2 linked regions of the Canis lupus familiaris genome follow. The protein of the gene in region 1 binds, or shares a complex with, the protein of each later gene. Links are inferred from orthologs where the notes say so. Each region holds a gene or a part of one and is shown in the gene's direction. Other genes may lie near its edges. The genes, in order: ARHGEF6 and DCP1A.

What was found.
Region 2: ARHGEF6 (region 1) and DCP1A share a complex: the UniProt entries of both Homo sapiens proteins name them as parts of the cytoplasmic complex. The link is inferred for Canis lupus familiaris from reciprocal best matches to the Homo sapiens genes ARHGEF6 and DCP1A.

What each region holds. Positions count from the first base shown.
Region 1 is NC_049260.1:108,084,405-108,088,319, reverse strand, and holds the start of ARHGEF6 (rho guanine nucleotide exchange factor 6), read left to right. Parts: upstream 1-1,174; 5' UTR 1,175-1,456; coding exon 1,457-1,621; intron 1,622-2,824; coding exon 2,825-2,908; intron 2,909-3,915. UniProt on the Homo sapiens protein: Acts as a RAC1 guanine nucleotide exchange factor (GEF).
Region 2 is NC_049241.1:36,940,347-36,944,161, forward strand, and holds part of DCP1A (mRNA-decapping enzyme 1A), read left to right. Parts: intron 1-2,624; coding exon 2,625-3,377; intron 3,378-3,815. UniProt on the Homo sapiens protein: Necessary for the degradation of mRNAs, both in normal mRNA turnover and in nonsense-mediated mRNA decay. Removes the 7-methyl guanine cap structure from mRNA molecules, yielding a 5'-phosphorylated mRNA fragment and 7m-GDP.

The sequences.
Region 1 (3,915 bases):
GCTGTGTTGAGAAGGATTCGGAAGCTTAGCAGGATCCCCTACTTGAGGAGGGGCAGTGACTGATGGGGAGGAGCATGCATTTGCCAGTTTAAGGCTATGCTGTTCTCATTGGTCTTCTTACAAGTTTCCCAATAGTATGACTATTTCAACTGGTTGTGAAAAGATCTCTTGTTTTAGACCAGGTTTGTTTTTTTTCAGAGCAGCATTTTTAAAAAAGGATTTTATTTATTTATTTGAGAAAGAGAGAGAGACAGCAAGAGAGAGTACAAGTGGGGGGTGGGTGGGGAGAGGGACGGAGAAGCAGACTCCCCACTGAGCAGGGAGCCCGACATGGGGCTCAATCCCAGGACCCTGGGATCATGACCCGAGCTGAAGGCAGATGCTTAACCAACTGAGCCACCCAGGCGCCCCTAGAGCACCATTTTTAACGCAAAGTGTTTCTTGTTGGGGAAGCATCAACTTTCCAGACTATAGTATAGACAGAGGACAAGTGCTCTTTTGTTCTCAAAAGTTCTGTTTTCAAGTGTTTTATACCCTCTCATAGGACTGTGTCAGAGCCTTTGCTAGGGGTACTGCAGCTGGATTGTGTAGTGGAACCAGGTCCAGAAAAAGAATTGCTAAAGAATGCAAGTAAACAGGATGTCAGATGTTATCCTTAGCCTATTTCCCTAAACATAGCTTTTTGGCTGCAAAGTAAAATGCCATTCTTCTAGCTTCTGCTTGTACACAGTGATGGCTGACAGCAGGCACCGTCTTCATTTGCTTGGCACGTTATCACCATGCAATTCAACGTGTTTTACAAGGGATGATCATGACACACCATCTCTGTGAGACAGTATGAGGACATCCGGCCATTTCTTGGAAGAATTTTCTCAGCCTACCTTCTTCATGAGCCTCAGATCTATGTGACCTAAGAGCCAGTTGGCATCTTCCTCCTGACAGCAGCCAGATTTTCACTGGGGCTAGACTATTTATTGACAGTGTTTCCCCAGACTGGCCCATGAGTGTCTCATTGCCAAAGTCCCCTGTGTTTTCCAAGAGCACTTGCTTCATTCTCTCTCCTCCCTCCCCAGCATCCTCCTCACTTCCTTCCCTTACAGCTTCTTGCACTGTTGGGTTTTTTTTTTGGGGGGGGGGGCTGTGTTTATGTGTGTTTCTTCTTCTTTTTTTTTTAACCCTGGTAAGTTAGCTTTGCAGGCTTGGAAAACAAAATCCAGCATTATCCAAAGATTTTTATTCTTTCTATTTCTACATCTTTTAAGTGTGATCTCTGTGGCTTTAAGATCCTGTAATTGGAGTGGGGTCGCGTTATCTAAGAAAGTCGTTGAAACGCTTTGCTCTGCAAGCCCCAGAAGAGAACTTATAAAAACGGAAGGCAGTAGCAGATGCAATTACGGATGTGGCTTAGTCCTTGCAGCTGCCCTGGGGAGCTGTGCAGAGCATACAGTCCTCAGCGATGAATCCAGAAGAGCGAATCGTGACATGGCTTATATCCTTGGGAGTTTTAGATTCCCCCAAAAAGACCATCTGTGATCCAGAGGAGTTCTTGAAGTCCTCGCTGAAAAATGGGGTAGTGCTGTGCAAACTGATCAACAGACTTAGGCCTGGCTCTCTAGAAAAGGTAAGGGAAATGGGCATTCTCTTTAGGATTGCTTACCACCAGAGAGCAGCAATAATGTAACCCTTGAGATGTTCTGTTGCCTGGATCATGGGACTCTGCCACTTGAATCTCTTCCTAGGAGTTTGGCATTCTGTCTTGTTTTTGTAGCTTGAAAAGCTCAGAAAATGAAAGGTTATCCGTTAGCACTTGGCCCCCAAATATAGTAAAATCATGATACAATGTTGGTGCCAGGGGACAAGGAGAAAATACTCGTATCATTTGCTCTGTCATAGAGATATGTGTTATTACTCTCTGTGTACCAAGGGCATATTTTGAACTTGGGGTATATATGAATTGGTGTAATAACGGGATGATTTATAATAGATATTGATGGTGTTTATTGACAGTTTGACTAAAATCAATGTTGATTTGCTTCTCAAAGAAATAAAATATCCTTTGAAACAGAGGCAACCAGAAGAAATAATCCAAAATGTCAGAAAAGGTTTGTTAAAACAATAGAAACCAGATATATGTTTTGTATGCAACATGTGTTCAAAGTGAAACTAACCTTACTCTCTTTTAAAAAGCCAAAAGTTTTAATGTTGGAAATCCATATTCACAAGGATAGATAATTTCTAAAGTAGGCACTTTAAGTTTAAAGGTTGAATCCTACAGCTTTCTTAAGGTTAGCAGGGGACGTGACTATGAGCATAACGTGAGTGCTTTTGCCTTCTTGTACTGGTTGGTATTTTTATTGAGCAAATTGGTTTACTTATAATTTCTCTGAAACTTGAAAAACAGTGCTGAAGTGGTAGTGCAACATGCAGAACTGTAACCAAATGTAACAAACAGTAAATGGGAGGATAGAGTGTTAATAAATTATCATGGGGAGGAGGGAGCAAGAAAATAACTTAAAAGCAAGAACCAAGGTCAAAACACAGCCTGGATCTAATTTGCTGTCTCCGCACTTTGGCTGAAGGCTAAAAAATAGTTTGTCAGTAGAGATAGGTGGTTTGGGACTGGAAGTTTGGTGACATTTGAAACAGACCGACCGTTTAGACTTTTACATCACTTCCTCCAGTGGTTATTTCTCTTCCTGGATTGACAGCAATGTGGCCCCTGCCTTAAAAAGCTTACCTATCTAGTTATCAGAAAATGAGGACTATGGTGTATGCTTGGCATGCGATAACAGGGTTCAAGTGACATTTGGCTATGTTTTTCTAGTACTGTTTGGAGCCCCAAACCGAAGCTGACTGCCTCAACAACATCAGTGACTTCCTGAAAGGATGTGCAGCCCTTCAAGTGGAGGTAAGCCCACCCGGGATGCCTTGCCTTGCTAGTGAAAATGGTGTTGTACTAAAAGTACTGGGTTGTTTCTGACTGTTACACAGGGGTAGCATTTTATGGAGATCATGGTTAAGATTGGTGGTCTCCAGTGGTGGCTGGTTAGTTTGTCTTTTCCAGAAACCAGTTCCAAAACAAAATGAAACAAAACAAAATCAAAACTCAGAATATGCTATTTTTTAATACAGCATCCGTGCCCTGAAAGCAGGCTTCCAGTGACAAAGGCTGTGTAATGTGCCTCCCTCCTGGGAGGAACCAAAAGCAGGCCATTGGCCGCTCTAGGGGGTCATAGTAATCCCCCCCCTCCGAGTTGGGAAGAGATGAAAGTATACTGTCACTTTTTTCCTATTAACACTTTAGAACAGAGGCCATGAAAAGCCAAGAGAGCCTGGCCCTGTGGTAGAAATTGTATATTAACTTACATTGCACTATTTTATATCATATAGATCCTTACAGTATATTTGGGGGTATTGCTGCAAAGGAGGTGATACTTTTGTCTGAGTGTCCAATTATGTAACTTCTTTGTTCCTCAGTGTGTGTGTGTGTGTGTGTGTGTGTGTGTGTGTGTATTACATCTTTATTTGCAGAAGCAAAATCATGGAAACAACATCCATAACTAGCAATGGGAGAATAGTCAAATAAATTATAGTACATTCAAATGATGCTGAAGTCTTATACATTCATTTAAAAAAGATTGTAGGTTTTTAAAATGGAAGTATAGTTATATTGATATTAATATTAGTTGATATTAATATTAACTAATATTATATTAGTTTTAGATGTACAATGTGTGATTCAACATTCTATACATTACACAGTGCCCACCATAGTAAGTGTAGCTACCATTTGTCACCATACAATGTTACTTCAATATTATTCTTTAAAGATTTATTTATTTATTTATTTATTTATTTATTTATTTATTTATTTATAGAATGCGTGGGGGAGGGGCAGGGGAGAGAGAGAATCCT
Region 2 (3,815 bases), on another chromosome or scaffold:
AGAAAAATGGTTTGGTATGAAATTACAATTTTTTTTATAACTGGAGGAGGCTTCTGCCTCTTCTCCACTGCTGTTACTTTGCCCCATCTACATTCTCCTCAGCCCTGCCAGCCCTTCTCACCTAACAGGTGACACGAGAGACTACACAGTGGTACTCACTTACCTTTCCGTCCCTCATAAGCAAGCTCCCCTGCATCCTCCATCCTGGGTGCTGGCCTCCTTTCCTCCATGTCCCTCCTCAACAAAGGGGATCCCTCACACCCTCCCCCTGAGAACCTGTTGCCAGTGAGCTGCATCTTCCCTCACCCTGCCCATCCCAGCACTGTACCCAGGGCATCTGCTAAACCACACACAGTTGTCCCACCCACCCTCCTTTTCAAAAGTTCAAATGAAGTCCACTTCTGCTTTTAGGGAAGACCTGTATCAGTACCTGTCTTGCTGACCAAAAGAAATCCAAAGAGGACTTTTGCTTTAATGAAAAAAGATAAAAAGCAAAAATAGCATCTAGTGTTTGTGTGACAGTGGTACCCTGCTCAGAGAGAGTGGTCTGCTGAGCCCCTGCCCTGGGAACCACTCAGCATCCCAGCAGCAGGCCGCGACAGTTTTGACTTGGGTCTGTGAGCACCTATGCTTTGTCTCTTTTTATTCTGTGCATCTATTAGCAAGGTGTGTTCTGAGGTCTCAGAAAAGCCAAAGAGATGGGCACCTGAGTGCTCAGTTGGTTGAGCACTTGGTTTCAGCTCAGGTCATGATCTTGGGGTCATGGGATAGAGCCCCATGTTGGGCTCCATGCTGAGCACGGAGTCTGTTTGAGATATTTTCCCTTTCCCTCTGTCCCTCCCCCCTTGCTCATTCTTTCTTGCAAATAAATAAAATATATTTTTAAAAAGCCGAAGAGAAGTTACTTTGGAGTCTAGAAATTTTCCCTATGAAGTAATAGTAATTGCTGCTTCACTTTCTATCATTTTGGCTTTTGAACATTTCCTAGGAATAATCCGCTTTCAGATAGCAAGGGAACCCTGTAATTGTTGATCTCACGAATAAAACATTTCCCTGGGAAAATCTGTGCTTTTCCTGCAGAAATGTCATACCATGCTGCTTTCATTCTTCTGCTTCAGATGCAGTGTAGTTTCAGACCTTTATAGGCCTTCTGATGTACTGAAAACTGTGTGTTTCATTCAGTGACTTGTCTTTTTCCATGTAAACATGTATCTGAGCAACTAAGCAGTCCACATACTTTAGTAGTCCCGTATATCAAGGGGCACCTCGATGGCTCAGTTGGTTTAGCGTCCAACTCTTGATCTCAACTCAGGACTTGCTCTCAGGGTTGTAAGTTCAAGCTCTGTATTGGGCTCCATGCTGGGTGTGGTGCCTACTTTAAAAAAACAAAACATGTAGAGACTGCTTGTGTTTTCAAAGTACTTAGGTTAGTCTCCCACTAGAACATAAGCTCTGTCAAAGTCTTTGTTACTTCCTACCATGTCCTTTGGGCCCAGGTCACAACAGGCCCTGGCACCTTGTTAAGGTGAATATGGCCATAGTGCTTGAAGTGAAGGTATAGAAAAGCTCAGGAGTAAAAAGCATAAATATTTCTCCTTCAAACCATTGCAGTGGCATCAATAAGCCAGATCACTGCAATAGATGGAAACTTAACATTTTCAGACTTAACATGATTTGTTTTTTCTTGAGGATTCTTTGATTTGATAGTAGAAAGGAGGAATGGCCTGCTGTTTACAAAATAGTTAAATTTGTTTTCTTTTACTTAAGACCTGTCCCTTTTTTTTTTCTTTTTAAAGATTTTATTTATTTATTCATGAGAGACAGAGAGAGTGAGAGAGAGGCAGAGACACAGGCAGAGGGAGAAGCAGGCTCCATGCTGGGAGCCCAATGCGGGACTCGATCCCAGGGCTCCAGGATCACGCCCTGGGCTGAAGGCGGCACTAAACTGCTGAGCCACCCAGGCTGCCCAAGACCTAGTCCTTAAGGTGCAATGCCTAGCTTTTTATCAAGAACTATGAAATATAAGGGATGCCTGGGTGTGGCTCAGTGGCTGAGTGTCTGTCCTTGGCTCAGGGCATGATCCTGGGGTTCTGGGATTGAGTCCCACATCGGGCTCCCTCTGAGGAGCCTGCTTCTCCCTCTGCCTGTGTCTCTGTCTCTCTCTCTGTGTTAAATTTATTTTTAAATAAATTAAAAATCTTTAAAAAAAGAACTATGAAATATGAAAATAAAAGTAGAAATACTCAGCATTTGGTCCCTTTGTTCTCTTGAGGATTGTTTCCTTACATGTGTTACTGACATAGGGCAATTAAGTACTATTAACATTGTAATAAGATACTTGCCCCTTTACCTTACATCCATTTGCCAAGGAAAAGGGGGAATTCTAACACTCTACTGGGAGTCCCTAAAACTTGGATTTTATTATGAATACAAATTTCTGCCCACCAGCTGAGGGAGATGATTTGTCCTTAATCCCTAGCACATCTTTGGTTTGTTCTGGGTCCTTATTTTCCAACTCCGTCCATCCTTCCTTCTGCAGACTGTTTTGGTTGATGGGAAAGAAGTTTGGTTACACTGGTTTGTAAGAGATTTCTTCCATTGGGTGGTTTGATTTGTTTTTTCAGTCTGCTCCATCTGGACACAAACATCTGACAGTGGAAGAATTATTTGGAACCTCTTTGCCAAAGGAACAGCCAGCCGTCATGGGTCTAGATTCAGAAGAAGTGGAGAAGCTGCCAGGAGATGCCTCCCAGAAGGAGTCCAGCTCACTGCTACCATTTTCCTTTGAACAGTCAGGAGGAGTCCCTCCATCAGAAAACCTGGGTGTCCGTCCTGCTGCGCACCACCCAGTCCCACCTGAGGTCCCTGCCCCAGTGCTCATCACTCCTGCCTCCATCACACAGTCCGGTGAAAAACAGGCCCCAGGCTATGCCGTCCCCCTGCGCCCCGTGCTCAGTCCCACTCTACCAGCAGACGCTCCCACAGCACAGGTTCCCCCCAGCTTACCCCGGAACGCCACCATCATGCAGGCAGTGAAGACCACGCCAAGACAGCGGTCTCCGCTCCTGACCCAGCCAGTCCCTGAGCTGAGCCACACCAATCTGACTGCCACCCAGAGCCCCTTCAGGGCCCCACTGAGCGTGACAAACACAGCTGGTACATCCCTCCCAAGTGTCGATCTTCTCCAGAAACTCAGGTTGACCCCACAGCATGACCAAATACAGACCCAATCACTTGGGAAAGGTGCCTTGGCACCCAGCTTTTCCCCAGCAGCTGGCCAGCTGGCCACTCCTGAGAGCTTCATAGAGCCTCCCCCGAAGACCGCAGCAGCGCGAGCCTCAGCATCCCTGAGCAACATGGTGCTTGCTCCCCTTCAGGTACTGGCAGGAGGCTGGGTGGCTCTGACTGGGTGGGTGAAACTACAGAGGCCTTGATGTTGCCTGCCACTAGGCAGTCCCTTCAAAGAGATGCTTGTTAGGTATCCAGGGCCAGAAGATGGGAGGTAAGGAGCCCTGTAGTGAATAGCCAGATCATTGGTATGTGGTGTTGTAACTCAGTTCCACTGTCCCAGATCTCTCAACCGATACAACTCAAGACACAATACTGGTATTTTCCCAGCACAGCGTCCATTGTAGGGGTTTTTGTTTGTTTCTGCGTGACAAGTCCAGGAGTCCGCATGTGACTCAGACCATAGATCCAGATTATCCCCAGCTCCCTTGGTACTCACTGAGTGCCCACCTTGGGCCAGACACACTTGGGGTGCCATAACAGTATCCCAGATTTGGAGATATGGGGTCAAGTAAAACCATCTAAGG